Diceros bicornis minor: one gene and its partner. The protein of the gene in region 2 interacts with the protein of the main gene of each other region in a biochemical or structural test. Links are inferred from orthologs where the notes say so. Each region holds a gene or a part of one and is shown on either strand. Other genes may lie near its edges. The genes, in order: GRK2 and GNAQ.

Region 1 (15,249 bases), on a different chromosome or scaffold from region 2:
CCCCTCAGCGTACTCCTCTCCACCCATAGCCAACTTTTTTCAATTCCACCATATCTGGGCCTTTACATGTGCTGTTCCCTTTGCTGGTACACCTTCCTCAGTTTACATGTTACTTCCTCCAGAAAGCCATTTCCCATCCTGCTCAAGACAGGGTCATGTGCTCCCATAGTATCCTCCTGCTTTTTAGGACTCTAAAGTCCGCCTCCCCAGCTAGCCGGGAACCTCCCCCAGCACAGGGATCAGTCTGTTGCTCACCATGTCATCCTCAGTAGCTGGCGCAGAGCTTGGCACATAATAGATGCCCAAGAAACACTACTGAGTGAGTGTCCCCAGTAGCTCGGATACCCAGAGGCCTATCCCTCCCTGATACAGTTGCCACGTTCCCCAAATTCACTTTTTCCACTCATACATCTTTCCCCTTGGTTCTTGTCCTAATGCTACCAGCCTTTTTTATTTTTTCTTGCCTATTTCCAATGTAACCTGGATTCAGCTATGAATTAACCTTCCTAAGGCATGCACAGAAATCTTCAGTAACCCTCCAGGGTCAGGTGTCAACTCATCCTGCCACTGGCACCTGTAAAATGGGAAGCACCATGGTTAGCATGTGGCAGGTGCTTCTGTCTCGAGGCCTCGAACTGGAATCCTCTGTGGTCCTTGGGCTTGCTGTGTTTAGCCTCGCCACAACTATGAAAATTCATGCTTCCTTCAAACACCTCTTCCTCCAGAAGCCCTTCCTGTTTCTCCTCCAACCAGAAGAATTAACTTGGACATTCTGTGCCTTTTCTAGCCAACGACAACATAGTAAAAACAGCTGACATGTAATAGGCCTCACTATGTGTTAATCACTGTTCTAAGCACATACATGTAGGAACTCATATGATCCTCACAGCAACGCTACTATTTATTTATTTTTTGTGAGATCAGCCCTGTGCTAACATCTGACGATCCTTTTTTTTTTTTTTTTTGCTGAGGAAGACTGGCCCTGGGCTAACATCCGTGCCCATCCTCCTCTACTTCATATGGGATGCCGCCACAGCATGGCTTGCCAAGCAGTGCGTTGGTGCGCGCCCGGGATCCGAACCTGTGAACCCCAGGCCTCCGCACTTAACCGCTTGTGCCACTGGGCTGGCCCCTACAGCAATGCTACTACTATCCTCATTTTAAAGGGGAGAAACTGAGTTACGGACATTAAACAATCTGCCCGAAGTGACTTGGCTAGTAAAACCTGGAGACTCAGCTCCGCAGTTGGTCCTACCCACCTGGCCTTCTAGCCTTTGTGTACATGTGATCTAATGTCCTGCTCACACCCAGCCCCAGGGGGCAGGTGTCTTCATTCTACAGATGACAAAGCCAAGGCTCAGAGAGGTGAAGTGATGGTCCTAGAGTCAGTGGCAGAGGTGGGACATATGTGAACACTGGGCCTGGGACACCTGGGACATCTCTCTCGTGTCCTGCTGAGCATCCAGCCCTCTCCCATGGCACCGTGAACTCCTTGACGGTGAGGCTAGCCTTAGCCAGTTCTACCTCCCCCTCATCTGTCCCAGGAGTGGGGGGAGAAGGAAATTTACTGAGCAATGTAAGGTGGGTGTATGGGATGGGAGGCAGGACCGACTTTATGGGTGAGTGACCATGCAGTCACACAGGGCCCTGCACTCAGAAGGACCCCACACTTAGCTTAACACTCTGCTGTTGCCATCTTGAAATTCTTAGTAGTATTTGAATAGGGGCTCCGCATTTCATTTGCAGTGGGCCCTGCAAATGATGTAGCTAGTCCTGGGGCAGGGACAATCCCAGCTCTCCTAGGCCAGCTCTGTGCTAAGTGCCACTTCAGTGGCCAGCAGCAGAGCAGGCCTGGCACTTGCTGGCTGGGGAGACCTGTCCTACCATCACCTTTCCAGGTGCCCAGGCCCAGAAGGAAACCTCAGCACCAACACTCATGTGTGGGCTGGTAACAGTGAGAGCAGGCACCTGAGGTCGAAGAGCGCCTGGATTTTGCCCTCGGCCTGGCGCTGTCACCTAGCTTCTGCCTCCCCCACTTGCCCCATTCCAGAGCGCTACAGGGGGTAGGCAGGTCCAGTTGCTATCCGCCCAGAGTGTGCCATGAGAGTGCTAGGATGGCAAGACAGAGGGACAGAAGCAGAAAGGGACACAGACACAGACACACGGAGAGAAAACACCCTGAAACACCCAGAAAAGGAAAGACAGAGAAAGGGGGAGGGGAGAAGAGAAAGGAAAGGAGAGAAAAGATACCATGGAGGACGCCTAGAGAGAGACATCAGTGAGGCCCAGGATACTCCACGTGTGACAGTGGCCACTGGGCAAGCCATCTCCCCCAGCCCAACACTGCACACACATCATCTCTGTTAATCCTCAAAACAATCTAGTGAAGCCAGGCTGGAGGCGCTCCATGTACAGATGAGAAAGGCAAGGCTCAGAGAGGTTAAGCAACTTGCCTAGGGCACCCAGCAGGGGCAGTAGGAGGTGACACTAGCATTTGACCCCAGGTCTTTTCCACACACAGACTCCCTCCCCCCGACATGGCAAGTACCAGTGGCCACAGCGTGGGGCCGGTGGGGACTACGAGACCATGCCTCGGACACTCCCAGGTGAGCTGGCAGGGTCAAGGCACAATCGTGCGCGACACGAACCCAACAGGCTTCAGCGCCAGGCTGTGCCGCGGCCGACGGCGCGCACGCGCGCTGGGGACGGCTCCAGGAGGGCGCCGGGGGCGGGACGCTGCGGAGACCGTGGCGGGGCGGGGCGAGGCCAGGGGCGGGGAAGGGGGCGGGGCTGGCCATGGCCCGGGAGGGGCCATGGGCGGGGCCGGGGCTGGTTTCGGGGGCGGGGCCGGGCCGGGGCCATGTCCGAGCTGAGGTTCTGAGGCGGAAAAGGATACGGGCCCGGGGCGGTCGGGGACTGTGCGATCTTCCGGAGAGTTCCAGGGAGAGGCGCTGCTCCCGGGAAGCAGGTCGGGCGGAGCCAGCGGTCAGGAAGCCCGGCCCAGGGTTGTGGGCCGGTGCCTGCGGGCCGAGGGGCCAGGGGCCGCCGAAGGTCCTTGGACTGTGGCAGGAGGGGGCGAAGGAATGGCGTCCTGGAGATGTGGGAGCCTCCTGGATAACCAGGGCCCTTTCCTCCCTCAGGGCCTCCGCACTTCATTTTCCACATGCCTAAAAAGCTCTCTTGTCTGCCCCTAACAAAACTGCTTTCCTCCCATCCTTCTGGCTCTGGCAAAAATGCCCTTCCTTAGAGGTTTCCCTGGCTTCACCTGAGGAGGCTCCTGGCTCTTAAATTAACTTGTCACCTGCCTCATAAGGATGTTTTGAGCATTAAAGGAGATGATCCGGGTTCTAGGCACAGTACCCTGCACAGAGTGAGAACCCAATAAATGTCAGTGGTTATTATTATGTGTAGGTTGCTGGTAAATTCACTGCCTGTCTCTCCCTATGTTGGATCCACAAGGTCAAGCCCTGGCATGTAGGAGCTCGACAAATCTTGCGGCATGAGTGAGTGAGGGAATGAAGCGAACTCCCAGCATCCTAGCTGGAGCCTGGCACTGTCTGGGCCCCCGCTGTCAGAGAGGTGTCTGTCTGTGTTAGGCAGGAGTTTCTCCCGATCAATCTGGACACCCCTCCTGGGGTCAGGGAAGCCCCCAAGCTCATCCTCCTGGATCTTCAAAGCCCAGGACGATGGAGATGGAGACGTGAGGGGCTGCGGTGCACTCCTGGGCCTTGGCACGTGCCAGTCCTCACTCACATTCACATGCACACAATGTCAAGTTCAAGACCTTCCCCATTCCTCCTCTGCCCTCTATGACCTTTCCCCAACCCTTCCCCTGACCTTCTCCTGAGTGCTCCACCTCCTCAAATCATAGCTCTTGCCGGGTTAATTGGAGGTATATGTTTAGGGGTCTTCTTCCCCACTGGACTGGGCCACCGCTGAATCCTGTTTCTCTTTGCAGCCCTAACCTAGTGCTGAGTGCCATGCTGGTTGTGAGGGATGCAGTAGTGACCATGACAAACAGGGGCGCCAAGGGAGAGCCCTTGAGCAGGAACCTTTCAGCCCACGAGATGCAGGGTGAGCAGGAGCCCACCTTGCCGGAAAGGAGGGGAAGGACATTCCAGACAAGGGGAATTATGAAGTCAGGACCCCAGAGGTGGAAATGAACTTAGCTTGTTATAGTGACAGAAGGAAGACCAGAGAGACTGGAGACTAAGGGGCCCGGGCATGAAGTTGAGTTAGAGAGGTAGGCAGGAGCCAGACTGTGCGGGTCTTACAGGCCACAGAAAGGGGGCTGGGTTTTATCCTAAGTGCAGGGGCAGCCATCGGAGGTGGGGTTTGATTTAGGCCTGTAAAAACTCTGACTAGAGGAGAGGCGGGGAGCCCTGAGAGGAGGCTGGTGCAGGCATCAGCACCAGGCGGGAAGTGATGGGATTCGGATCGGGTTTAGCAGGGCACAGTGGAAGGATTCGGAGTAAACTTTGGAGACAGACACACCAGGGAGTCGACAAGACAGGCTGGATGAGAGCATGTGTATGTGTGAGGCAGGGCAGGTGAGGGAAGACAGGAATCAAGGATGACTCCTAGGCTTTTGGAAGGTGGAGGAGCCACGACTGAGATGGGGAGGCGGGAGAGCAGCGGGTTGGACAGCGGCTGGGTGGTGGGAGCAAGAGCTCAGTGTGGGACGCGTTAAGTTTGCAACACCTATTAGTCATCCAGGGGAGATGCCAGGTACTGATGTGTATGTGGGTCTGCCAGCTGGGCAGAGATGGGGTTCCACCCCTCTTTCACTCCCAACATCCCAGCCGGAGGCTGGCACAGTCTGGGCAATGACAAAGGTTTGCTGAGACAAGGAATGACTGAAGCCAGCCTGAAAAGACAAGTTTACAGTTGACCTTCCTTCAACCACCAGAGGGCAGCACCATCCAAAAAAACCAGCCTCCCCAGGCCATGGACTGGCACCAACCTCTTCCCAGCCCAGGGCTTCAGGAGTGGCTTTCCAGGATCCCAGGAATCAATGAGGGGTGCCCTGGACACTGGCTCTTTCCAAAGTCCCCAGGCTTCAGGCTCACCAGGGCTGCAGGTTGGGCTGTGGGTGGGAGAGGCAGTGTGGGTTTTCAGGCGGTGGGGGGAAGGTAGGGCCACCTTCTGGAGCAGGATGGCTGGCATTTCAGAACCAACGGGGATTCTGGTTTGACAAGTTCATCAGGCAGAATTTTTAAAATAGGAGCTGCTCCAGAAAACCCAGGTCAGCGTGTGGCTGTAATCAGAGTCCCAAAGAGTTGAAGAGTCAGGGCGGGGCAGGAGGGAAGGTGAGAGGCCTCCTGTTGTGGCATCCTCATGTGCCTCTGGCCCTGTTCTGCCCCAAACTCCACGTGCCACCTTGGGCTGAGGAGCTCATTCACTCAGTCAGTCATTCATTCATCAAACATTGACTATGCCTTTCTGTGTCAGGTCCCATGGTGGGAACTGGGGGCAAAGAGATGAACTGGGAGCATCAGTTACAGTGGGAGATGGTAAATACTTTTTTTTTTTTTTGGCACACATTAGCATTTCTGACATCAGGGTGCATTTTCCAATCCATGCAAACATGTTATAAAGCTTCACACACACCCAGTGTCTAAACTGGAAATGATGCATCTTGCAGTTGATGATGTTTTCAAATCAAGGAAATAGGTGGTAAGTGTAGAATTGGAGATGCACACAATGGGGGTCAGGGTGTTGGGGAAGGCTACCTGGAGGAGGTGGGTCTTAAAGGATGAGCAGGAGTTAGCCAGGAAGAGGGCACACAGAGGGCTTCCAGGCACAGGGAAGGGCAATGGCACAGAGGTAAGAACTGGTGGGTGGGCTGGTAGGGGGACCCTAGGTGCAGAGGATGGTGGCGACACAAGCTGGAAAGGGGAGCAGGGCCCAGGCATCCAAGACCCTGACTTGCAGGTTAAGGAACTTGTTCACCTGATCTGCTTTGGGCAGAGTGGGGGTGTCCCCCATGCTCAGCAGCTCCAGAAGGCCTCGAACACTGCTTCTTGGTGCTAAGCAGGCAGTAACTCCATGAGATCTAGATGTGGGAGCGGCATCTCTGGTCAGGGCCTGTATCAGGGCAGCAGCCATGGGGATGCTGAGAAGCAGACAGGTTCAAGAAGACAGGTTCTCAGGAGGCCAGACAAGAGGGTATGGTGATAGATTAGGGCAGGGGGAGAGAGAGGAGTCAAGGATGATGCCCGGAGATCTGGCTTGGGTATCTGGGTGGATGGTGGTGTCGCCCACTGAGAAGGGGACCTTGCCATCTCTGATGTGCTCTGGTTCCAGACTCTGCCAACGCTGATCTCAGAAGGTAGCCTGAGAGGTGTACAGGGAGGGGGGTCCCTGCTTTGCAAAAGGGTCCTGGTTACTGGCCCACAAACTGTCATGAGGCTTGGGCTCCATATGCCCGGGACTGGGAGGGGATCTTGTCACCTTGGAAAGCAGAGAGAGGCTCTAGAGAGGGGCATGTTGAGATAGGGGGTGCTGCTTTGAGACACATGGATCCCCCTACTGTGGGCTCTCAGCAGAGGATGTTTCCCTTACCAGGCAGCACTGAGACCCCTGTGCCCTCCCAGGCTAAGAGAGGTTTGAGCCCGTCTTGTGGAATCATGATGATTCCATCATAATGCCATGGATGGCCTGGGGTGCAGGCCAGGACCTGGGTCTACAAGCCAGTCCAGGGAGGGTAGGGGTTGGTTCAGGTTGTTTGGTCCCGAGTGGGAGTCCTGGGGTCAGGGTTGGGTCTGGAGCAGGAGGGGTAAGAACTGACTGGGCTAAGTCTGGAGTTGTCATGTCCCAGGTTCATGGCCACCTGTTAAGGGTTCTAGGTCCAGTCTGGGTCCTGATTGGATGTCCTGGTCCTGGGTCCCCGTCCAGAGTTCTTGGTGTTGGGTCTAGGACCCTGGTCTAGGGTTGACAGTTCAAGTCTGGATCTGGGCCCTGCCCCCAAGTCCAGGGTTTAGGGTCACGGTAGTGGTCTGGACCTGGGGTTGGAATCAAGGTTGGGGTCAGTAACCAGGATGGGATCCAGGTCATGGTCTGTGGCTGGGATCAGTGTTTGAGGTCATGGTCTAAAATCTGGATCTGGGGTCCTGTTGGGGGTCTGGGGTCCGTGTCAGGGTCTGGCTGTGGAGTTGGGGACCCCAGGTTGTGATCCAAGGTTGTGGTCAGAGTCTGAGGTGGTGGTCCAAGGTTTGGGTCTAGGGTCCTGTTTGGAGTCTGGGGTCAGGAATGTTATCCAGGTCTTATGTCACGTGGTGGACTGCGTCCAAGGTCAGGGAGTCAGGGGTTAAAGCCAGGGTCTGAGACCCAAGTCCCTGGGATCATGTTCTGAAGTGCCAGTCTGGGGTCAGGGCCGTGGTCTATCCTGGAGTCTGGGATCCGAGCTGGGATCCGAGTTGCGGTCAAGGTCTGGGTCTAGGGCCTCCTTCGGTGCCGGGTCCCTGTCGTGTTCCAGGTCTGGGGTCAGGGTCACGGCCCAGGCCCGGGGAGGGGTCGGGTCTGAGTTGGGGTCCGGGCGGCCACGGGGTCAGGCTCGGTCCGCCGCACGGCCTCCAGGGGGCGCCGCCGCCCGCCCGCCCTCCCGGCCCTCGCGGGTTCGCTGGCGCTGTGCGCGGCAGGCGGGGCCGGAGGCGGCGGCGGCTCCGGGGCGGCGGTGGCGGCGGCGGCGGCGGCGGCGGCCCGACTGCAGTCCCGGCGGGAGCGGAGCGAGCCGGGGCCGGGCCCGAGCCGGCGCCATGGGGCGGCGCCGCCTGTGAGCCGCGGCGAGCGGAGCCGCGGGCGCCGAGCGGGGCCGGGCGGGCGGCGGCGCCCGAGGCCGACGGAGCGGCCGGGCCGGGCCGAGCGCGCCGAGCCGAGCGGAGCGGAGCCGAGCCGAGCGGCGGGAGAGGCCGCCGCCGCCGCCAAGATGGCGGACCTGGAGGCGGTGCTGGCCGACGTGAGCTACCTGATGGCCATGGAGAAGAGCAAGGCCACGCCGGCCGCGCGCGCCAGCAAGAAGATCCTGCTGCCCGAGCCCAGGTGAGGCGGCGCCGGCGCCGGCCCCGGCCCGCGCCCGCGCCTGCGCCCGCGGGCGCCCTGCCCGGCCCCCCGAGCCGGCGCCCGACCCCCAGCCCTCAGCCCCAGACCCCCCAGGCGCGAGCCCGGGACCTCTCAGCCCGTCCACCGCCCCGGGACCCGCAGCCCCGAGCCGACCCCGCAGCCCCAGGCCCCGTGCACCTGAACCCGGGCGCCCCAACGCCGGGGCTTTCCTGCCCCGCTGGCTCCTCGAGCGCTCCGTACCCCCCGCCCCGCTCTACCCCCCTGTCCCTTCCTCCACTCTAGCTGGCCCTCATCTCTGTCGGCCCCTGCTCCTCCCTTCTCCCACAGGGGCCCCATGCCTCCCTTCATCCTCCTCCGGGCAGCCCGTGCTCCCCGTGGGGTCCCCTCCTCCGGCTGCCACCATCTACCTGGCCTGACTCTATTGCCCATCCTTTTACTGCCTCTATTCTGGGCACCCCCCTTGGGGTTCCACTACCCCTACCCCTAGCCCCCTCTGGTCAACACTTGTGTGAGATCTGGGGGAGACAAGTCTTCCGGGGTCTTCTGCACCCTTCTGGTCGGTCGCTGGCTTGGAGTGGGGTTTGAGAGTGCTTTGGGGGCCAGGGTGGTGGTGAGGAGCAGGGTGTGGTGTGTGCCCCATCCCAGTGGGAGAGACGCCCCCTGTCCCTCTCCCCTCGCATTCCCCCTCTGGTGGGCCCTGCCTGTGGTGCCCTGTGGGTGCTGTTTGCAGGGGAACATCCCAGAACCCTGCAGCAGCTGGACCAAGGCTGCCCCCTCTCCATGAGACATCTGATGTCATCACACCTGGTATCAAAGTTGAAACTGTTCAGGATGTAGTATCAGAAGTACACAGGATACGGACGATAGCTGAGGCTTGTCCAGCGTTTTATGGCTTCTAGAGTATTTGCTCGTTGTTTGAGCCTGACAGCAGCCCATGAGGAGGTAGGACAGGTGTGGTTTTGTCCCCATGGCACAGGTGGAGAAGCTGAAGCCTGCCCAGTGTCACAGGTAATCCAGAGTGGTGCCTGGCCCCCAGATCAGGGCTTCCGGCTTCTAGTTCCATATTGTGTCCACCACTCTGGCGTGAGCCGGGGCCTGGCCGTTCTGCATCTACGAGAGCCGTGTGCCCACCACGAGTCCTCATGTCATGTGGCCAGGCCAGTCCCAGCACGACCTCCATACCTGCCTGAGAGTTGGCATGCTGGTGCCTGGCTGGCCCGGGAGCCTGGGCCTGTGCTAGGTGTCATGGTCTTATCATGTGACTTTGGGCAAGTCCCTTCCCGTTTCTGGGCCTCGGTTTTCTCATCTGTGAAATGTGGATGGTGTGAAATAATGGCTGAGACTGTGCGGCGTTCTGAGTCTTTGAAGCAGGGCCCGAGGCTGCAGGGGGTGCCATGCTGATGTCTCCGGTTCCCCCGTCCATGCCTTGTTCTTGCTGGGTTTCGGGTTGACTGCACACCAGGCCTGGGAGAGGAAAATGGGTCTGCATTTTGAAAAGGTCGTTAGAGCCCTTTTTTTCTAAGACATTTGCAGTCAGATTTCTCAAAACAGGAACCAGACTGACTGTTAGCTGGGGGCTGTCCAGGGAGCGGCAACAGTTAGAACAAAAATGAGTTCAGAAATGACAAAGCCACGAGGGAGGAAATGGGGGAAGTCAACCTTTGGGGTTCTCAACGGCTCTCCTTGGTGGCCGCGGCCTTGAGACCCTCCTGCCGGTTGGAGTTCTGCAAAGTGTGAGGCGGGGCCTTTTCTGGAACTCTCTGCCTTTGGGTAATCTCTCCCCAGAATGCATTGCTCCTGATGGGGCCCCGCCTTGGGTTGGCCATGCAGGTGTTAGAACCCTGAGAAACGAGGCGTTCCTCTTTTCCTGTCCCCTTTACCATCCGTGGTAGTGATGGTGGCGACAGGAGTGATGGTGGAAATTATAATTTATTATTTATTTTGACATCTGTCATCTCAGTTGATCCAAAACTCAACCTGTGAAGTTGGCAAGGCTGTGCCTTGCGTGTAGTAGTTGCTCAAGAACTATCGGGACTGTGTGGTGTCAGAAGCCAGGTGGACTGCGAGTTTTAGGGGAACAGCAGGAGACGGGAGCCAGGTGTCATGGGTTCTCATATAGGGTCACCATCTGGCAGCACGACCTTGGGCAGATTGCCCCCATCTGTGAGGTGGACCAGAGGCTCTAGCAGTGACTGACAGTGGGCTAAGGACAGGGAAGGGCCAGAGCCACTCTGTGCAGCAGGCCGGGGCTGGCCCTGGGAGTCCAGGTCTCCTGCGTTGGAGGACACGTCACCCTTTGCTTTATGCTTTGCACACCCAGTGGGTCAGGTGCCTCCTGCCCTGGGAGGTCATCATGACTGTATCTTGTGTTTGCCTGGCACGTCCCAGTTTGCTTTTTACTCCATTTTATCCTTTTCACAGCTGTGGGCAGCAGGCACAGCAAGTGGTATGCTCCCATTTAATAGTTGAAGCAACTGAGGCTCAGAAAGGCGGGGGGGGGGGGACACACTTGGTCACAGAGACAAGCTAGAATTTGAACGCGGGTCTCTGCACCCCCAGGGGCTCTCTCACTGCTGTGCTTCGTTTTCTCCACACACGCCTCTGCACCTCTGCTCTCACCCCCTCCATGTTTTGTGGAATGTGCCAGCTGGCCTCCCTCCTCTGGGGAGCTGGGGGTCTGGGGAGGTGGCCTGGAAGCAGCAGGGCAGCCCCCAGCGCCGTCAGCTGCCTGGGTCTCAGGCCCAGCCCCCTCCCCCTTGGCTGGGACAGAGCTGAGGTGCCCTGGCAAAGCTGGTGCACGGAGCAGGCAGTTCCAGGCCTGGGGTCATGTCTTCCCCCCACTCACAAGGTCAGAGTGAGGGAGGAAGGCCACGGTTTGTCCATGACAAGGTGCCATTTGGAGTTGTTCCCACCTTGGGGTGGTCCATCTTGGCAGCCTCCCTGTGGCTGGTGCCCGGCTTGTGGCTTGGCTGGGAGCTGGGGCTGGCATCTCAGCTCTGACTTCGCAGGGCTGGGGAACGGGAGCTGTTGGGCACAGTGCCACTTAGAGTTGGCACAGGGGCCTCCCATTCTGTCACCCTATAGAATCCAAGGAAACAGACCCATTTCTCAACCTTCTATTGGAAGGAGGCAGCATCGTGTAGCTGGAAGACAGGAGAGCTGGCTTCTAATCCCGCTGCAATACCAGCTCATGTGGGACCCAGGCATGTCCCTTAGGCTGGCTGAGCCTGCCTCAGTTTCCACCTTGGTAAAACGAGAGGGCTGCACCTTCACCGATGACCTCTCGGGGTCTGTGGTCTGTGCCTCTCCCTGGAGGAGCCGTTGTCTCCTTCCCCAGCAGTGGCTGCAGTCCTGTAATTATCGTCATTTTCTTAATATGACCACGGAGCCCTTGTGTAATTAATCTCTAGGCTCCCGGCTGAGGAGCCCGGCCTGGGCGGTCCCAGGAGATGCCCCTGCCCTCCCTGGTGACAGTGGCAGCCCCAGCAGCAGATTGTCGGAGCCGGGTGCCTCTTGCAGCCTCCCATTTTCTTGGCTCTTTCCTGGTCCCTCCCCCACCAGGGATTTCCTCCTTCCAGCCCTTTCCTGGCTTCCCTGTCTCCCAGACCCCCCACTCTTCCTCTACTGCTTCGTCGTTCCTGTTAACTCTTTGCCTCCAGGACTTCCTGCTCTTGGTTTGTGGGGGGAAGGGGTGCAGGGGAACGTTTTCTCCCTTCCTCCTCCCTCCACTTCTCCATCACCAGCAGAAACCCTGCTGTTTCCAGCCTTTTTCCCTTACCCAGAACTTTCCACTCCAGTAGCAGTGTTCTCTCCTCTCCTGCCCCTGGAAACAAGATTATCTTTTCGGCAGGCAGTCATTCCCTCTGGGCCTTTGAAGCCCCCGCTTTCCCCAGGAATGAGTCTCTGGGCCGTCTTTTCCCATCTGTTCTCCTTTCCAGAGCACGGGTTTCACATTTTTGCCATTAAGTTGCTCGCTCACTCACTTACCCGCCCGCCGTTCCCTCGGTAAATGGATTTGAAGGGAGCGTGAGCATTACAGGTTGGAATCCGTGCAGGGGAATATGGGCTCTGTCAACCCGGGAATAACGTGTCCTATTAATGCACGATCAATTCCTAGTAGTAAATTCCCGGTGACGTCAGCTGTAGGCACACTCCACAGCGGGCGGTTCCTCCCGCCCCGGGCACCCAGGTCGGCTTTGCAGGCGGACTGAGCGCTCGGGGGCTTGAAGGTTCAGGCTGCGTGCACGTGGCTGGTGCTTCCAGGATCTTGTGCTCGTGCCTCGGAACAAACAGCAGAGCCTCCATCACACCTGCCCTTTCTTCCTGTGGCCCCTCCCCGCTCTCCTGTGGCCCCACAGGCCAGTGTCCTCCGCTGCTCGCATAAGATGGGATTACACTCAAGTTATCACTAATCTGTTTCCATTAAGGGGCACTAAAAATGAGGTGTCTGGCTGCAGCTTTTTTCTAAAACAATAGCATTCCTTCTCTACATCGCTCCTTTCTGCAAAGGGTAGCGTCTACGCCGGCAGAAGAGCAGGGTTTCAGAAGTGGGTCTTCTGTGTCAGCAGCTCTGTCCTCTGAGGGGGGAGTTCTCTGACTCTGGAGGCTGTCCTGGGTTTGGGGTGGGGGACAGCCTCCTTCTGGGAACTGCAGGGCAACGAGCCCTGGAAGTTTGTTCTTGGTGCATTCTAATGTGGTGGCGGTAAATTCCAGGGTGTGGTGTTCATGTCATATTCGTGTAGAAGCCATGACATATGACAAGGCCGCCAGAGTGTCTCTTCCCGCACATCCTGCAGGGAGCCACTCTGAGGCCGCCGTGCCGTCGGGAGCCTGGGTTGCTGTGGACATTTGCAGTGGGCTTGTGTGTGTGGTGCCTGGTGGGGGTCATCTTCTCTTCCAGGGCCGAGGCTTGCTCCAGAGTTGACGGTGTGGGTTGGGCTTTCCCATTTGGTGTGTGGCCCTGTCCTCGGGCTCTGAGGATATTGTCAGCCCCAGGAAGAGTCATTGAGAAATGTTAATAAGAAGCCCCAGGGGACTTCCTCCTACCACTGCCACCTCACTGCCATGTTTCCTGGAAATGCCACAGAGGAGTACCTCAGCCGTGGCCACAGCCTCTGTTGTGCTGGCTTGTTAACCATCATCTCCCAGGGCATAGCAGTTCCCAGGGTGGCTGCACCAGACCCGCCAGGCCCGTAGCCCCCGTGCCAGCTCGCACCATCCTGGGATTTCGTGGCTCTGGCATCCTTGTCACACAGGAGCACAGGAACCATGGCCCCTGGCCTGCCAGATGCCAGCTAGAGCTGCCCCAGCCCGATGGGCTCCCGGGAAGGATGCTGCACAAGGCCGGGGTCACCTGAGACCCTGCACCCAGCTCTTCCTCAGAGGTTGAGGGGAGGCCTCTGCCTAGCGGAGACGCTCTCTCAGGGAGCCTTGGATGTTTTCTCGGTGTGGGACTCTGGCCAGCTGCTCAGCTTCTTCTAGCCTTGATTTCTTTCCCATCAACGCGTGTGTGTTGGCTTCTGATCCCTGCAGTCCACATAAGCTACAGTCTATGACCCTCAGTGGGCCCAGGCCAGCCCGCCAGGTCGCTGCGCCACAAAGCGAGAGACTGCTTTTCTTCTGAACCACATGGCGCCGAATGGTACCGGAAGTTCTCCCCCTCAACCCTCACCCCCTTCCTGCCATCCTGTCACCCCAACCCGCACTCGGGGCTGGGAGGGAGGAAGTGCTCTCTGCCTCAGCGTCAGGCTGGGCCTGCTCAGAGCAGCTGCGGCCAGAGGGAACAGCCTAGGCTGTAGGTGGCAGTGCCAGGCAGTTCCCTGCCATGGCGGGGTAGGCCTTCTGCCAAGGCGCCCTCCATGCTTCGTCAGGGCAGGTATCAGGCTCTGCCCACTGGGGCCCGCAACTGAGCAACAGGAGTGCATGAGGCTGGTCTGTGAGCAGAGTGGAGTTGCAGCCGCTCGCCTGGCTCAAGGAGTGCTCGTGGGCCCAGCTCCGGTCAGGGCTCCCCGGTCAGGAGGCCACCTGGCCATAGGCCCTACCCTCTGAGGACATGGCAGATGTGAGACAGAGACCCAAACAAGGCCATGTAGCTTATGATCACGTTCTAGAAGGAGACGCAGGCTGTGGAATCCCAGAAGGAGGGCTTCCTCCAGGAGGGGGACACAACCTGCTGGCCCTCACAGTGAGGCTGGCATCTTAAGAGAGTTCTCCTTTGCTGTGTCCTCTCAGGCCTTTAAATGGCCAGCGCGGTGGTGGCGATTCAGCATTTTGTTGACATCCTCATTTTACAAATGGGGAAACTGGACATTTAAAGTTTGTGACTTGGCCTGGCCTTCCAAAGGGAGAGCCATTTGGAACCCAGGCCTGGGCTCCCATCCGACCGTGAGAGCAAAGGCGGCCCCGAGGCCCTTTCCCAGAGGGACTGGGAGCCTTCGAGTCCTTCTGGTGGGGAAGATGCAGACACTCGGCTTTCTTGACAACCCAGAGTCGATCTGGGAGCCACATGCTCCTAGATGTCAGGGTTGTTGACCTGGGTGGGGGCAGGAATGCTGCTCTGGGCTCGTTGCCACTCCAGGCTCCACCAGTATCAGGGAGCAGGTTTTGGAGACAGAGGGGACCTGGCGCAGGAGGCTGCCACCGCCTCCCGTGCCAGCCGGTACTTGCCACCCTGACGGGAGCTTCCCCCGTGACACATTTTTCTAACCTGTCCACTCCCTCAGCCACCAGCCCCGTGGGAACGGACAGGAAACCCTCACGTTGCCGCTTCGGGGGCCTTCCCTTCAAGGGCCCTGCTCAAGTCTGACCTCGTGTTTGGTTGGGGGGGGTTGTTTATTTTATTTAGAAAACATTTTTTTCTTTTTAAGGAAGAAAGTAGAGCACTGTGGGCTGGGAAGAATGCCGCGGCCATCCCGTGCGGGCTTCTGAGGGAGGCGGGGTCTGCCTCCGAGGCCACTCGGAGCCCGGGCCTGCTTCCTGCTGTTCCCTGGGCTGAGCCAACAACAGAGCCGCCCAGAAGGGAGCAGGCTCTGCCACCAGCGCACTCCCCAGAGAAGAGACGGTTCCCTGCTCTCTCTTTGGAGGCAGGCCCTCCCCAAGAGCACGTTTCCTGGTGGGGACCTTTGCGTGTCCAGTTCCAGGCTGCTCTGGAGGGCCGCCGAGTCACGTGGCGGGAAGCGCTCCCCAGCT
Region 2 (15,745 bases):
GGAGAATAATTTGGCACTATATAGCAAAAGCCTTAAAAAGTGCGTGTCCTTTGGACCAATAATTCTACTCTGCCAAATTTATTCTAGGGACATGGAGATACATACAAAGATTTATACCTAAGAGTTGTTCATTGTGGCATCATTCATAATGAATAAAGAATTGGAAACAACATAAATGTCTAACAATTCAGTAATATTTGAACAGATAGTTATACATTCATACAATGGAACACCAAGAAGCCATGAAAATAATTTTGAAGCATATTTAGTAAATGAAAAAATTCATGGGAAGAGCAAAGAACTAAATAGATAAATGTTTATTATAAAAGTAGCACAACACTGGAAACAAATACCCATCGATAATGGACTGGTTAAGAAATTGTGGGGAGGGCCGGCCCCGTGGCTTGGCGGTTGAGTGCGCGTGCTCCGGTACTGGCGGCCTGGGTTCAGATCCCAAGCGTGCACCGACGTGCCGCTTCTCTGGCCATGCTGAGGCTACGTCCCACGTGCAGCAACTAGAAGGATGTGCAACTATGACATGCAACTATCTACTGGGGCTTTGGGGGGGGGGGGAAGGAGGAGGATTGGCAATAGATGTTAGCTCGGAGCCGGTCTTCCTCAGCAAAAAGAGGAGGATTGGCACAGATGTTAGCTCAAGGCTGATCTTCCTCACAAACAAAAAAAAAAAGAAAAAAGAAATTGTGGGGAATCTGCAGTGGAAAACTATGCAATGTCAAAAAGAAAAAGTACATAATACAGACCCATCTCTGAGATACGTTCTGAGTAGGAAAAGCAAATTACAGAATAGGTTGTATAGTATGCAACCATTTTTGTAACTAAAAGATATATATGTACTTCATATCTATATACGCATAGATATTTCTGGAAGCCTGCCAATAAACTAGTAACACTGGTTGCCTCTGGGGAGGTGAGAGGTGAGTTGGCAGTGGGAGGGAGACTTTCTTCTTGGGTAAAATTTTGTTCTATTTGAGCATTTTTCCATACGTCTGTACAACTTAAAAAATAAATACCAGCATGTACACTATCATTTTAATTGGTAAATAATTTCATATCTATCCATCTGAGTAGAAAAGACTCAAAACCAAACAAGAAAATGTAAATAAGAGTTATCTTTGGGTGGTAGGATTATAGATAATGTTCATTTTCTTCTATGCGTTTTCCTGTATTTTCTGAGCCTTTCCCCCCACCCCAGGACAATAAACACTGACAAAAATTTTAAGAATATAAATGGGCTAGCCCTGTGGCCTGCTGGTTAAGTTTGGCCCGCTCTGCTATGGTGGGCTGGGTTTGGTTCCCGGGTGTGTACCTATACAACTTGTCAGCAGCTATGCTGTGGCGGTGACCCACATACAAAATAGAGGAAGATTGGCACAGATGTTAGCTCATGGCTAATCTTCCTCAAGCAAAAAGAGGAAGCTTGGCAACAGATGTTAGCTCAGGGCAACTCTTCCTCAGCAAAAAAAAAAAAAAAATATATATATATATAATGAGAGGAAAAGGGAAATAAAAAATATATAAAGGTCTGATAGAGGCTGGCCCAGTGGCATAGCAGTTAAGTTTGTGCGCTCTGCTTTGGCAGCCTGGGGTTCGCAGGTTCAGATCCCGGGCGTACACTGACGCACCGCTTGTCAAGCCATGCTGTGGCGGCATCCCATACAAAGTAGAGGAAGATGGGCACGGATGTTAGCCCAGGGCCAGTCTTCCTCAGCAAAAAGAGGAGAATTGGCAACAGATGTTAGCTCAGGGCTAATCTTCCTCACACACACACAAAAGTATGCATATAGATAAAGGTCTGATGGGACAGTGAGTGGGGGAAGGGGCTAGCTTGGTTCTGGTGAGCACTGAGCCTAGTACCTACCAGCCCTGTGTTCTGCAGGACTGGCCTTACTTCCCGGCTAGAGTAGGCAATTATGGCTGCAGTATCCACCTACTGGCTGAGGCCTGCACATATGTAATTAGTTTTATTACTCTAACTCAGCTGTTCTCAATCTTGCCTGCACATTGGAATACCTGGGGTCATAAAAAAAACACTAAAAATATACCAAGCCTCACCCCAGACCCATTAAATTCAAATATTTGGGGTGAGAATCCAGCACCCAGTATTATTTAAAGTCTCCCCAGGTGGTTCTGATGTGCAGCCAAGGTCAGAACCAAGCTGTAAGCCGAGGCTTTAGTTGAAAATGCAAACCCTCCTGCAAGGGTGCTGAGATTTATTATCAGTAGGTTACGAGCTTCCTGAGGATAGGTAAAAAAGGTTAAATGAACCACTGATACTTTCCAAAAAAAAGGGGGACAAATTCTGAGACCAGGAAAGCTGGAGACCAAATATAATTTCCTCCAGGACTCACTCAGTTTAGAGGAAGGGGGCATCAGGAATAGAACATTGGGAGAAAACTCAAGTTCTAGTTCTGCTTTGCACTTCCTGGCTGCAGAACCTGGATCAATCTCTAGACCCTCTAGGTACGACCCTGCTGTAACATGTGCAATTGGATTAGCTCAGAGGTGTTGAAAATAGCCTGCAGGAAGAGGAAAGAGGAAGAAGTGCGGGGCTTCCCTGTCCCTCCTCCCTAATCAGTGTGTCTCCACCTTTGCCCTTGTATAGATTGGCTTCCAGTACGCTTTATTTTAAAGGAATGATTCCTAGATTTAAAAGAAATTCCCTGGATCACATGGCTTTTTAGGTCTCTTTAGTCTACAGTCTTTGCTTCTTAATGTCAGCCAAATAGTGAGCCTAAAATATTTAATATTTTCTGCATTTGTCTCATCATTTTTTGGGGTTTGATACCGTGTGTTTTGGGGGAGGCTGTGGAATCTTCTACTGCTTCCATTTGGACAATCAATGGCTTTTCAACCCAGTTCTTTTGTTCCAATTCCACAGGCAGAAATCATGTATATTTTTAAGTTGTAAAGAGTAGATAATCCTCCATAGCTCCTTCCTTCTTCAAAGTGACAAATTCTCCACTGGTGTGCCAAGTCATGTACAACTTCTATGCCAGGGCCAGGATAGGGTGAGGCAAGGGAGGCATTTACCTTGGGTGCAAAATTGAAGAGAGCACCAAATATGTTAGTAATCAAGATACATAATATTTTAAGGCAATATTTCTAAAAAATAATGCAAAAATCCATGAAGAACAAATTATAAAAATTTTAAATAAAGGGAGGATTACTAATAGTTTTGTGCCAAGCCATATTGGTGCCTCAGGCAAAAAAAAAGTGCCTCACTCACCTCACCCTATCCCATGCCCTATTCCACATTGTGCAAAGCACCCCAAATCTGGCTCTTAAGAATTTGTATAAGGATGGAAAGATGGAAGTATGTTGATGAATTTGGAAGGGGCCTTTGGAAATTTTTGTGGCTCAAACAGATTTTGGTAGGCCTAAGAGATAGGAAAGGAAAGAAAAAATAAAACAAGTGGGATACCTTTAGATCTAATTTTGTGGTCAAGAAGAGATATTTTATATTCCAATTTAAAATTGAAAAGCTATTAGCTTTCTTACATCTTGATAAAATTCATAATGGCAGACTGAAAAATTTACAAGGATAGTAACTCATTGAAAGGTTAATGTTAAGACCATTTCAATCACTGAGAAGGCAACACAACAGACACTTGTGTATTTTTCATCAACATGTGCTGTTTCATCAATTTATCACATATTGAGCAATTAACAACTTTGACTATATATTATGTCATGATCTCCAATATATAACATGCACACGACTTGAATTTGTGTCAGAAATACCAACTTTCATATAGTTGATTTAGGTGGAATTAATACATGTTTCCATATAGGTCTTGAACAGAAATACTGCATCTTCAGCTTTCTTGATATCCTACTGATGGCTGTTTTTCCTTGGTGAACTGATTTGAGGCAAGATTTTGAAGCACAGGCCAAGGAACGTTTTACAGAGGGAGCCAAGCTTTAGTGGGTACCATCTGGCTAAGAAAAAAAAAAAAAAAGGCAGACTTCATGTGGCCAATATATGTCTTCTTTGATTGGAGCATCTCTTTTTCATTCATTCAACAAATGTTTCTTAAGCATCTACTACTACCTCCCAGGCACTATTCTAGGTACTGGATTCAGGAGTGAACAAAACACAAAAATCCCTGCCCTTCTTGAGCTTTACATGAGAAATCATCAAAGGGAGATGAGTGCAATGGGATAAATGATTATTTGATTTACAAACACGGAAACAAAGAATGGGAAAGAAATCAATTGCCTCGATCAACTACTTGGTTAATTCCCAAATCCAAACCCCATCCTGCTAACTGCCTTAGAGGGCCCATCTGGAATGCCCATGTGTACGGTGTTACTGAATGGGGAGTATACACTGGTCCAGGTTATACAGCAATGGGGAGTAAATTAGGTGGTGGGAATGGTTGTCGTCTGGGAATGTAGGCCTGGGATTTGCCAGATCTTGAACAGGAATTGAAATCCAGATTTCTGTGTGAATGTCTTGATGTTTAAGTTCTGGCAGCTAATTCAAAATTTTCAGTAGCACTGTTAAGTTAAAAGCAACACTTCTTCAGCCCAAAGACCACCAGTTTGCACCCTGGGTCTTAGGTGGGAGTCTAGCAAAGCAGAGAGTCGGAGGTCTGGTGGCTCCCACTTGGAGCAACTCCAGGGCAGGAAGGAAACTCCTCTACTAGCGAAGTCATCCTTGATTCTTTGGGTGCCAGAAGGATCTGGATCATGATTTGGGGTGACCCGATATGTTGCTATCTGATTTTGGTACATATTCATTCATTCATTAAACATTAGTAAATGCCTTCTCTGGCTGAGACATTGGTCTACTTAGCTTAAAAATAGCTCCCATCTGGACAACTTTTTAGGGACTTCCAGTCTGATGGGACTTTGATAGCCTTTACACTGTGAGGTACAGTGGCTCCTGTGATAACGGTAACCTGGGATGAGCCCAGAATAGGTACATCGGATTGGTCAGAGCATCATTTGGACGCATTTCTGAGGTGGTAATGGAAAGATGTCATTGAGGTCCTCTGCTTTATCTAGAATATCTGTTTGGTGGCTTTGCAGGGTGAGTGTTTTCTCTTTTGGAAGAAGGTATTCTGTTTCATGCCTGGTCTTTCATCTTCAACATGTTGACCCTGAAACCCTTTTTCAACTAAGAATCATCATCTTTCTGCTATGAAAGCTGTCCTCTAGGTGGTGCCATTTGCAGCTCTCTCAGTCTCCCTGGGCCTGCTCGCCTGACTTCCCCACCAGCAAGGCCTCTACTCCTTGGCCAGACAGCTGTGCCAGCAAGCTCTCGCAGGATGTGCAGTGCTGCAGGCTGACTTCTAATTGTTCTTTCAGGTGACCCCTACTCCTTCGGGCTGCTTTGAATGGATAACTGCTCCTTCTTCTGAACTCCTCCAGCAATCCATTCTCATACTGTATGTTAGCAGCGAGTGCTTCCCATTTCACATTGTTGTTTATTCTTCTGTGCATGTGGACTGTCTGCCCAAATAGATGATTAAGCCTGTAAGGGCCTTGTCTGCCTCAGGCGTCTGGCAGAGTGCACTGCCTGGGACAGCAGTCTGTGAGTGTGTGTGCTGTGGATGCAGGTTCTGGTATTCTTTTGTTTATTCATCACTCACTGAGAAACTGTTGGGCTAGGCACTCTTTTGGGTGCCCGGAAAACAGTTATGAAAAACAAGGTCTATGCTCTCAAGCAGCTCTGAATCTCATGAGAGAGAGAGAGGAAGGGAGCGAGAGAGAAATCGACAATTACAGCCGTACAGTGCACGCTGTGAACAGCCACGCTAAGTGACTCTGGGAACAGAAGTGCAAGCTTTTCCTTCCCCAGGAGCTCCTTGTAGAAGAGTATGGCCTTTCCACTCTTTTACTCTAGGATCACTCTTAGAGACTCAGCTATGCCTTTTGGTGCTTTTCTTTTCCAGCACCCAAGGAACAGGGCCATATGATCATGGGGATAGGTATCTGTCTCAGGATACCATAGAAGAGGTGACAGTCTTCCCATTTTCCTCTGGTGTTCAGTGCTCCTAGGGTTTTGTGGTTGGCTTTTCAGCTATCTAGTAATTGCCCTTGAATCCTCAAAATGGTTTATCATCTTACTGGGGGTGATTTGGAATTGCTGATTTACTGTTTAGTGGTGTGGATACACATTTATTGAATACCTATTCATTCTTTAAGACGCATCCAAAAGTTCCCTTTCCTGTGAAGTCTTCTCCAGTTCTCCTGAACAGAATGAATTATTCCTTCCTTTTTATACCTTTATATTGTTACTTCTATGCCAACTTTAATATAAATTGATTTCATTTTGTCTTTTACTATAGCTGTGCAAAGCCTCATAATGATGTAAGACTATAAGCCTATTGAGGGCAAGGACCATATTGTATTCATCTTAGTATCCTCCCTCTTCCTGCACTTTTACCTTAGTTATTTACACATAGTAGGCAATGAATGTTTGTTGATTTCATGAACTGGGACTGGTAACATGATCCATGTTTAGTTGCATATTTTAGAGTATTTGCTTCTAAAACATGGTCCACAACTGCAGTAGTTTCTTCGTAGATTTTGTTTGCTTGACTTAGGTTGTATGAATATTTCCTTGGCAAATCCTTTCCAGATATATATGCAAAGGTTTCTGGATAGATCTGGGCTCAGACTTGGAATTTTCTTTTCCTGTTTCCTTCTTGACATCCGTATATGGCTTTATCACTGTCAAGTGTTGGTTTTCCTTACGTCCTGATTTCTTCCCAATACTTGAAGGAACATCCTTCTATTGATTTGTCTTATCCATTCAAATATCTAAGTGCCAAGGAATGCCCCTGATGCTAGGGATACAGGGGTGACAGAACAGACTTTGACTGTATCTACAATCTATTGAAACAGTTTAATTCCTTTCATCAAAAAATAGGTCAATTGAGTCAAAATGGATTACCTGATAGCTTCATGGCACAGTTTGAGAGACATTTTCAAAAATCTCAGGGGATCCTTGGCTAGGAAACCAGACACTTGAAGCTTCCTGACTGTCATGTTATCTTCTGGTGTTTTGTCTCTCTCTGAAGCTCACATATATCCATCTATTAGAGGATGCAAACTTATAATTAAGTTTTTCCCCTGAAGCCATTTAAAATTTCTGCATATTGAATTTCAATCTTCAATTTCATTGGTCATTTAATTTTAAACTTCACAGCAAGTCTAGTGGCTTTTTGTAGGCATTCACATGAAGGGGGGTGAGGGTTGTCCTTTCTGCTCTTTTGGCCAAGGTGAAATGTAATCATTTGTAGGCCAAATATCCTTTTAAAAAGGGAGCCTAAAATACAGATCTTATGTCTCGATGACTTGATTGATCTAAGCTCTGGCTTAGAGTGAGTGTGTGTGTGTGTATGAAGGGTAAAAGGTAATGGCAAATGAAAGAAGGTAGTCACACAGCTGTGGTTCAGGAAGCTTATGTGCACTCTTGACCTGTGGCAATAGTACAATCATGACCTTACTTTACACCCTGGATCAGCAGGTTGCACCAGAGACATCTCAGAGAAAACACAAAATGTGTAAAAGAGATTCCATTCTTAACATATAATTTACTCTCAAGACCTCAGGTTCCATTAAGGCAGAAAGCAGTATGAGTTTCACGTCTTGTAGCTATTAGATCCAAAAAAAAAAAAAAAAAACCTGAATGAGCAAGGAGATATTTTTGGCCATTTATCAGTCGTATATCACAACAAAATAAGGAAACAACAGTTTTAAGTAGTCTGCAACGCAAGTGTAAAAACAAAATACTAGATGAAACTTTGCCCGGGCGATCTTGGCTTTCCCATTTCTCTCTTTTGTTCTTTCCTTTTATTTTATTTCACATTATTTTGCATTTTCCCAGAAGTCATCCATAATTCAGTCTCGGTCTAGAAGGGTAAATTCGATTACTTGGCTGTTAAACATCGTGTGCCTTTTCAAAAATAGAGGAACGCTTGTAAAAAACAAAACAAAACAAAAACACCTTCCATGGCATGAAAAGTTGGAAGCTATCAGGAGGCTCTTGGAAACCTGGGCAGCTTCATTTTTCTGCTCAGGATTTAGATTTCTATCTCCAGGAACTTTGTGGCCAGTTTTGCCTGTTAAGCTCCCCCCACCCCTCCAGCAACCAGTGACAATTCCTTTTCCCCAGTCGCACTTCAAGAGGGTATCTTATTTTCTGCGACTGAACTGGGGTCAGAGGTGACGCGAGATACTTGCTAACCGCATGGCGTTTTAGGAATAGAGACGGCAGACAACACTGAAGTGGCTGAGAGCGGCCCCGGGGGCTTGACCGGCGCTGCCGGGAGGGGGGTCCCGAGTGCCGCGGCCGCCCGCGGGGAGTAGGACGGGGGTGCGCGGCGCCAGGGGGGCAGGGGGTGCGCGGGGCCGAATCCCGCGACTTCCCGGAGGGCCGGGGCCGCGTTCCGGGGCTGGTGGGCTGAAAGGCAAGCGGAGGCCGCCATATTCCTGCTCCACCACGCCCGGGCGGCCGCCGGCAGCGGCAGGTTGGCGGCGGCCCCGGCTCGCGGCAGCGGCCGCCGGTCCGGGCTGTGGCGCGGCGGCCCGACCCCGCCCCATCCCCGCCGGGGGCGGCCGTGACCGCTGCGCCCGCGGACCTCGCCGAGGGTGCGGGAGCGGGAGGCGCCCCGAGCCCTGGGGGCCCGGCCCAGCCGGGGAGCAGCGCGGGAGAGGCGAGAGGCGCACGGGGAGGCGCGCGCCGCGGCTGCGAGCCCAGGAAAGCTTTCCAGGAGGGGCCGGGCGGCACCGCCTCCCCGCTCCCCTCCTCCTCCTCCTCCTCCTCCTCCTTCTCCTCCCCCTCCCGCCGCCGCCGCCGCCGCCGCCGCCTCCCTCCCGGATCTGTGCTCCAGTTCAGAGAAAGAAGAAAATGTGTGTGTGTGGCGAAGGGGAGGGCGAGCACTGAGCAGCCGCTCCGCGCCTGCAATCGGGGCCGGGGGTGGGCGTCTGGCGGAGGCGGAGGCGGAGGCGGGGAGCGCGCGGCGGCCGGGCGAGCGGGCCGGCGAGCGGGGTTTGCGCGCGAGCCGGGCGGTGGGCGCGGGCAGGGCCGAGAGCGGCCGGAGCCGTGCCAGGCGGCGGCGAGGAGCGGGCTCGCCGGGCGCGGGGAGCCGTCGGCGGCCGCTCGCTGCGAGGTCGCCCCAGTGGATGTGCTCTCGCCGCCGGGCGCAAGGCTTAGGGGAGCCTCGGCGGCGGCGGCGCGGGGGGCGAGGCGGGCCGCCCGTTCCCGGGGAAGGAGGCGCGGGCGTCTGAGCGAGGCCGGGCGCAGCGGCCTTACCTCGCGCGCCCCCCGAGCCAGCGCCCGCGGCCGCCTCCCGCGCCCGCCTCGCTCCTCCCGGCGGCCCGAGCCGCCTGCTCGCGCCGCACCGCCGGCCCACCTGGTGGCCCCGGCCCTGGCCGCGGCCCCCGCGGCCGTTCCCCAGGCTCGTCCGGGACGCGCGCCCGGGCGGCGGGGGCTCGGCGGCCACCGCTGCCTCGGGGGAGCGAGGGCGGGAGGGTGTGTGTGCGCGCGTGTGAGCAGGGGGTGCCGGCGGGGCTGCAGCGGAGGCACTTTGGAAGAATGACTCTGGAGTCCATCATGGCGTGCTGCCTGAGCGAGGAGGCCAAGGAAGCCCGGCGGATCAACGACGAGATCGAGCGGCAGCTCCGCAGGGACAAGCGGGACGCCCGCCGGGAGCTCAAGCTGCTGCTGCTCGGTGAGTACAGCCCGGGGCCGGGCGCCGCGGGCCCACCCGCCGGGCCTTTGCACCCTCCGCCTGCCACCCTCGGTGCCCCGGGGCAAGTGCCCTCCGCGGCCCTCGCCCCCGGGCGCCGGCGGCTCGCCCCTACCCTTCCCGGGCGCGCCCCCGGCCACTACCCGCACCCGCGCGCGCGCGCGCGTACACACATACACATACACAGGCGCGCGCGCAAAGGGGTCGGGGTGGCCCTGCCCCGAGCCTCGGCGTGTGCCTTTTCGTGTCCCTAAAGGCTGTGTATCAGGGGTGCGCGTTTATCTGCTGTGCTTCTGCTAAATGGCACATCATTTCGGGGGAGAGGCGCGGAGGTGGGAAGGTGGCAGAGGGGTTGAACTTCCAGTGTGGTGGCCGCAGCGCTCGGTGGGGTGGTGGAGTGGGGAGTTGTGTGTGTGTGGCCCGAGGGTGGCGAGCGGAGCCAGGGTACGTTGGGGGATGGCGTGCGGTGGGGTGGCCTGTGTGCATCCATTATTAGTGCTTTCTGGGTTCAGGAGGGAATGGTGGAATGGTGGGCAGACTCGCAACTGGATTCTCCAGGCAGTGATGATGAGGGAGCCGAGTGGTTGGCCCTCCAAAGAAAGGAGGCTTGTGTACTCTGGGGGCGGGGAGGCGAGCCCTAATGTGTCACATAAGTGCTGTTCTCCAGCCACCAGACCACCGAAAGGAGAGACCTAGAAGAGTTTCTTGACCAGTGGATGGTGACAGGCGTGTTTCTCGTCTGCACCATTTCTTCTAGATAAAGATGAGGGATAGGGGAGCGTTGTGCTGTGTGTTGACAGCGACGAGTATCTTTTGTTTAATGAGGCAACCCAGATGTAGGCCTGAATTCACAATAGTTACTACTGAAAACCAGTACAGCCTCTCAATTACTCCCGTGGAAACAAATAGAAACCTTTTGTTTAAAACGGACAGCATTTTAATATTTTTGGAATCTGGGCTAGAAGGAAAACGGAAAGTATACAGCAAAAATTTCCCTTTAATCTCTTAAAAAAAACAATCCCACATTCTGCCTTAACACTAAGTTAGCAAGAAAATGCCATTTCTCAGATAGGAATTCTATTGATTATTATCTCTGAGAGTATGTTCAGAATGAACGATCAGGGTTCACATACAAGCCAGTGTGACAGCTCTGAGCTATTGTGGTAGGAAGAGCAAACAGCTTTGCAATAACAGGCCTGAAAAATGTCTCCACTTGTGTTCTGGATATTTGGTGTGTAATAAATACGTTTCTCAGACATTTCTGTAAGAAAAGGACGTTATATTGTCAGGATTTGAGAAGCATGCATTTTCTTTCTTATCTTGAGCATTCCATCTCCTGGTTCAAGCAACCAGTGGCCTTTGGGACTGAACTGCTTATGTACTGGATCATTTACAAGAAGGAATGAAATATAATGATCATGGAGAGTTACAAATGGTTAATTCACATGCAGTGCTCTATGTCTTCATTTTGAAACCAGATTAGATAAATGTGCACATGTTTATAAAGAAGAGAAGGCAGAATGCTGGATAAAAGAGGTAGGCTTTAGGGAATGAAGCCAGGGGAAGGGAAAACTGCCATTGGAAAATGAAGATCTTTTTATTTTTCGTTTTTATTCTCATTTTGGGCTACTTCTAATGGCTAAAACTGTGTAGTTGAATCGGTTTTCTGAATTCTCAAGATTGAGAAGAAAATAGAAGGGGCAGGAGAAATGTATATAGAGTATTTAAGTACACGATTAAGGGGAAAAGCATGTGTGTTAGAGAGACTTAAGAACAGTTTTTCTATTTCTTTTGCCCTGTTTACAGTCTTTGTTTCTGTTTTGCTGTGAATGGGGCATTTGAGGTCTCCCAAGCCAACCCTATTGCCCAAAATGTGACAGCTCTGGGTTCCTAGCAGCTGTGCGTTAGAGCCCAGGGGGTTTGTCTGTCTGGGGGCCCAAGGTTTGAATGTCTAGGAGGAGGATTTTTGGGGAAATACACATATATGGATGCTTAACTACAAACTGTGTGTTTAAATAACATACTGTGCTTTAAAAAATGAACTTGGAGATAATTTTATGAGAAAAAATTAAAGTAAAACAGTTTTACTGCTAGTGGTGGTAGTTCGGAGAACTTTTGTTTTCTGTTGTTAGATTTCAGTAAGGTTTAATACAGCCCCATCCCCACCTCCAAATATGCTCTATTGGAAGTGGTAGAAAAATATGACATTAATTTAGCACCTACACTCATTAGTAACACTTAAAATTTATAAGGCTTTCTGTTAGAAACATTATCCCTAGACATCATGTAAGAATTGCTACAGCTTCCTGTTCTGGGGTGTGTTGCTTTTGTAACATAGCTTCTGCAATACCTCCACTATTTATGTAGTAGATGCTATATACTAATTGTAGATTTATGTGTGCTCATGAGCCTGTGATTGCACGATTTCTTGAGTCCAGGAGAGAAATGATGGTTGACTTGAACCAGAGAAGGTGTTGGCAAGGGGTTTGAGAAACTCCCGGTGTGTTCCTTTGATGAGTGCACTGAATCTTCTGGTTCCTTCATTCTTTTAAACCGTACCTATCCAAAGAAGGTCACAGGATGTATCCTTGCATAGTTGAAAGTTTTACCAATATTTTTAACTACTTTATTCAAATTGAGGAATCACTCATATTTACATGAAATTCAGTATGAAATTATTTTCAAAGTAAATTTTAGTTTAAGGCATGACACCATTTTGATTCAGATAGATTTATCTGGCAGGCATAAAAGTGTGGACCCTTACATTTATTCACATAATTATTTAATTTTATATATTGATAATATGGAGAAATTAGAAAGGGAAAATAGTGGATACCTGCCTGGAAGAAAGTATGGCAGTAAAATTTGGGTTGTTTTGATATATATCCAGCAATTATGCCAATGTGTTCCAAATTCTATAGTACTTACATATTTTGATTTTTATTCTTTTTTTTAAAAAGGAACCCAGAAACCTACCGCCATAAAATATCTTATTAAATTCTGAATTCTTTTCTTGTTTTCTTTAACTTATTCATTCTCTGAATTCATTTTTTTTTAGTGTTTATTTCTTTTGATACCTCAAGGAAGACTTTGTATTCTACATATATGCAAGAGAATATTTTAACTTGGTTGATGTTTTTATATACTTTCTGGGTGTAAAGTACATTATATTTTCTTTAATTGATTAATATTCATTAATATTAACTAAATATTTCTATTGGTGGTACATGGGTCACACTATTTAATATCAGTATGTCTTTAAGTCTGTATAAAACAAGTGGTTTTGAATGCCTGCCTCCAGTTGCAATATTCATCCTGAAATTTTTTTCAGTTCCTTGAAGATACATTTTTTTTCCTATTAACCTGTTCTTATTTTACATGTTTTTGAAATTTGTACTCTTCAGATTTTAATCATCAAATAGGAAGATTTAGCAAACTCTGTTTATTGATTAGATTCCACCTTTTGGAAACAGGCAAAGTTTAGACCAGTCTTAGATGGAAGAATATATGTTGTTGATCTTTTAACTGAATTGCATATGTGATTATAGATTTTCTTCCTTTTCTAGACTGGAAGCTTCTGAGGGTAGCGATTGTGTCTGTGTTGTTCACTATTAAATCCCAGCTTCTAGCACAATGTCAAACTCATAAAAGGCTCTCAATAAATATTTGTTGAATGAGTACATTTACTTATGACTCTTCTGGTAGAAATTGGGACGTTAAAATAATGAATAAATCATAGAGACACGGAAATATGTAATGTTTGTATTCCATGGCAGATAAAATCATAATCTTCTTTAAAAAACTGTATGTAACTCTTTGAGCCAATTGAATACAAATGCATTCCAGGATCGGAAGTGTTACTGTAAGATGTTACATCACATATTGACCCAGTGTATTACAGTTCGTGCTGGGTGCATTTGGGAATGATACCGGTCATGCTTAAAGTATGAAAGTTTAAAGGAAAAAAAAAAAGAAACCATTCCATATCTTGATTACTTTTTTTCGTGTAGAAGCTAGTTTAACTCTATCATCTTTTGCCATAAATGTTTCTCCATGATACACTCATCGGAGTGGACTTTTAAATTCTCTGGAGCACAGGTGATAACAGATTTTTGCGATTTACTTATACAGTTACGTGAGGACAACCACAGTGATTAAATACAGAATTTTGGAATTGCAGGTAGAACCTTTTTAATTTGAGGGGTATACATTTGTACTGAAAACTGTACAGTTACAGAGCAGGAAGGGACCTGGAAGGCTGGGAATGCTATGGCAAATTTAGACTGTATGGAGAGTTCATTCATGCAGGTCTGGATACAAGCACCCGCCCCCCTACCCCTCCTGGAGTTCACTGGAGGAAGAATGGGGATGTTGATTGCCTGAATTAACCGTGAGGTTAGTGGCTGTCTAGGATGGCTGCTCAGAACCACAGAATGAAAGCATCTCTCTAAAGCAGCCCTAATAGCAGCATCTCCCTGGAAATACCAAAATATGGTGTTTATGAAGCTGCTTTAAGACAAACCAGTTTTATTTTTGCTACTCTTTTAGCTTCCAAGTGTTAATTATGTTTCTAAATGTCAAGATTTATTTGAATGCATTTCCTGTTTTTTTTTTTTTTTTGAAATAAAGTACTTCTAGTTTATATCTGAAGAGTGAAGTGGAACATCCCTCATAAAATTAAAAACTGTAGCTCTGAGCCGGCCCCGTGGCTTAGCGGTTAAGTGCGCGCACTCCACTGCTGGCGGCCTGAGTTTGGATCCCGGGCACGCACTGATGCACCGCTTCTCCGGCCATGCTGAGGCCGCATCCCACATACAGGAACTAGAAGGATATGCAGCTATGGCATACAACTATCTACTGGGGCTTTGGGGGGAAAAATAAATAAATAAAATTATAAAAAAAAAAACCACTGTAGCTCTGACTATATAACAAAGCCTTCAGAGTAAGATTTTTGCATTGAACCGTGTGGATTCATTGTCTAGGTCTGCCATATAATTGTCAATCCTGTATTGACGTGTTAGTTCTTCATATGGGAACTTTGGCACAAATGAAAACCCTTCTGAACAGTAAAATTGTCCTGTGTATATCTATTCAAATGTTTTTAGGTATGTTTAGAAAGGAGAACCAGAAGAAGAATTGAGTAGCCATTTTGTTTATTACAAATAAATTTGATAGCCTCTTTTTCATAAATAAACAAAACAAAACCCACGCTGTGCTTTATAAGAGATGGCTTATGTTCGGTTTTCAGAGATGCCTATTAAATATAGTTATGATTTTTATCACAGATGAATTTTTAAGGACCTGAAACAGCTTTCGCAGTTGTGAGGCTGCGTGCTATGCTAAACTTAGCAGGAAAAAAGGAACAGATTTTTCTTCATGATCCAGGCAAACTTATGCTTGAAAAGAAATGAACAAGATTTTCCAAGGATGATTATGATTCCAGCTTTCAGATTAATTTTTCTTTAAGGGGAGGTTATTAGTTCTGTTGATATTAGTGGAAATGTTGATTAGGTGCTGTAGAGAGAAAATAGGGAGCTGACAGGGAAGAGAGAGAAGCCATTTTAAGAAGGTTAGGATTGCTTTCTCCCTCAGAAGGTAGAGGGAATCTGTTTCCTCCAGACTGTATGTTTTGGGTTGAGGGAAATACAAGTATTTGTAGCAACAAATAAAGTCTAATTTCCTGGTTGAAGGGAGAGGGCAGTGACATTTTTCAAAAGGAAACTTTTATAATGGCTTTTAAGCAATGTTAAGATCTCTGCAGCGTTAATCCTAGGGAAGTGTGAAATAGCAGTAGAAGGTAGAATGTGTGATTGTTGGTAATTAAATCTGTGGCAATAACTGACTACAGTAAACAGTGAATGTTTTCTCTTGTTCTGCCGAATGGAGTAACGTTAAAGAAAGAGCTATTCTCAGACCCAAACACGCTTTTGTGTGAACAGCTGTTACTAATAAAATTATAGGAAGTTGTTCGACAGTCACCTTTGATTTGTTACGTTACTGATATGTAAAAATCTGTCTGA

The links.
Region 1: the proteins of GNAQ (region 2) and GRK2 form a complex in vitro, tested with the Homo sapiens proteins (3 studies listed by BioGRID). The link is inferred for Diceros bicornis minor from reciprocal best matches to the Homo sapiens genes GNAQ and GRK2.

The regions. Positions count from the first base shown.
Region 1 is NC_080770.1:6,231,932-6,247,180, reverse strand, and holds the start of GRK2 (beta-adrenergic receptor kinase 1), read left to right. Parts: upstream 1-7,722; 5' UTR 7,723-7,927; coding exon 7,928-8,040; intron 8,041-15,249. UniProt on the Homo sapiens protein: Specifically phosphorylates the agonist-occupied form of the beta-adrenergic and closely related receptors, probably inducing a desensitization of them. Key regulator of LPAR1 signaling.
Region 2 is NC_080761.1:16,146,433-16,162,177, forward strand, and holds the start of GNAQ (guanine nucleotide-binding protein G(q) subunit alpha), read left to right. Parts: upstream 1-9,446; 5' UTR 9,447-9,571; coding exon 9,572-9,707; intron 9,708-15,745.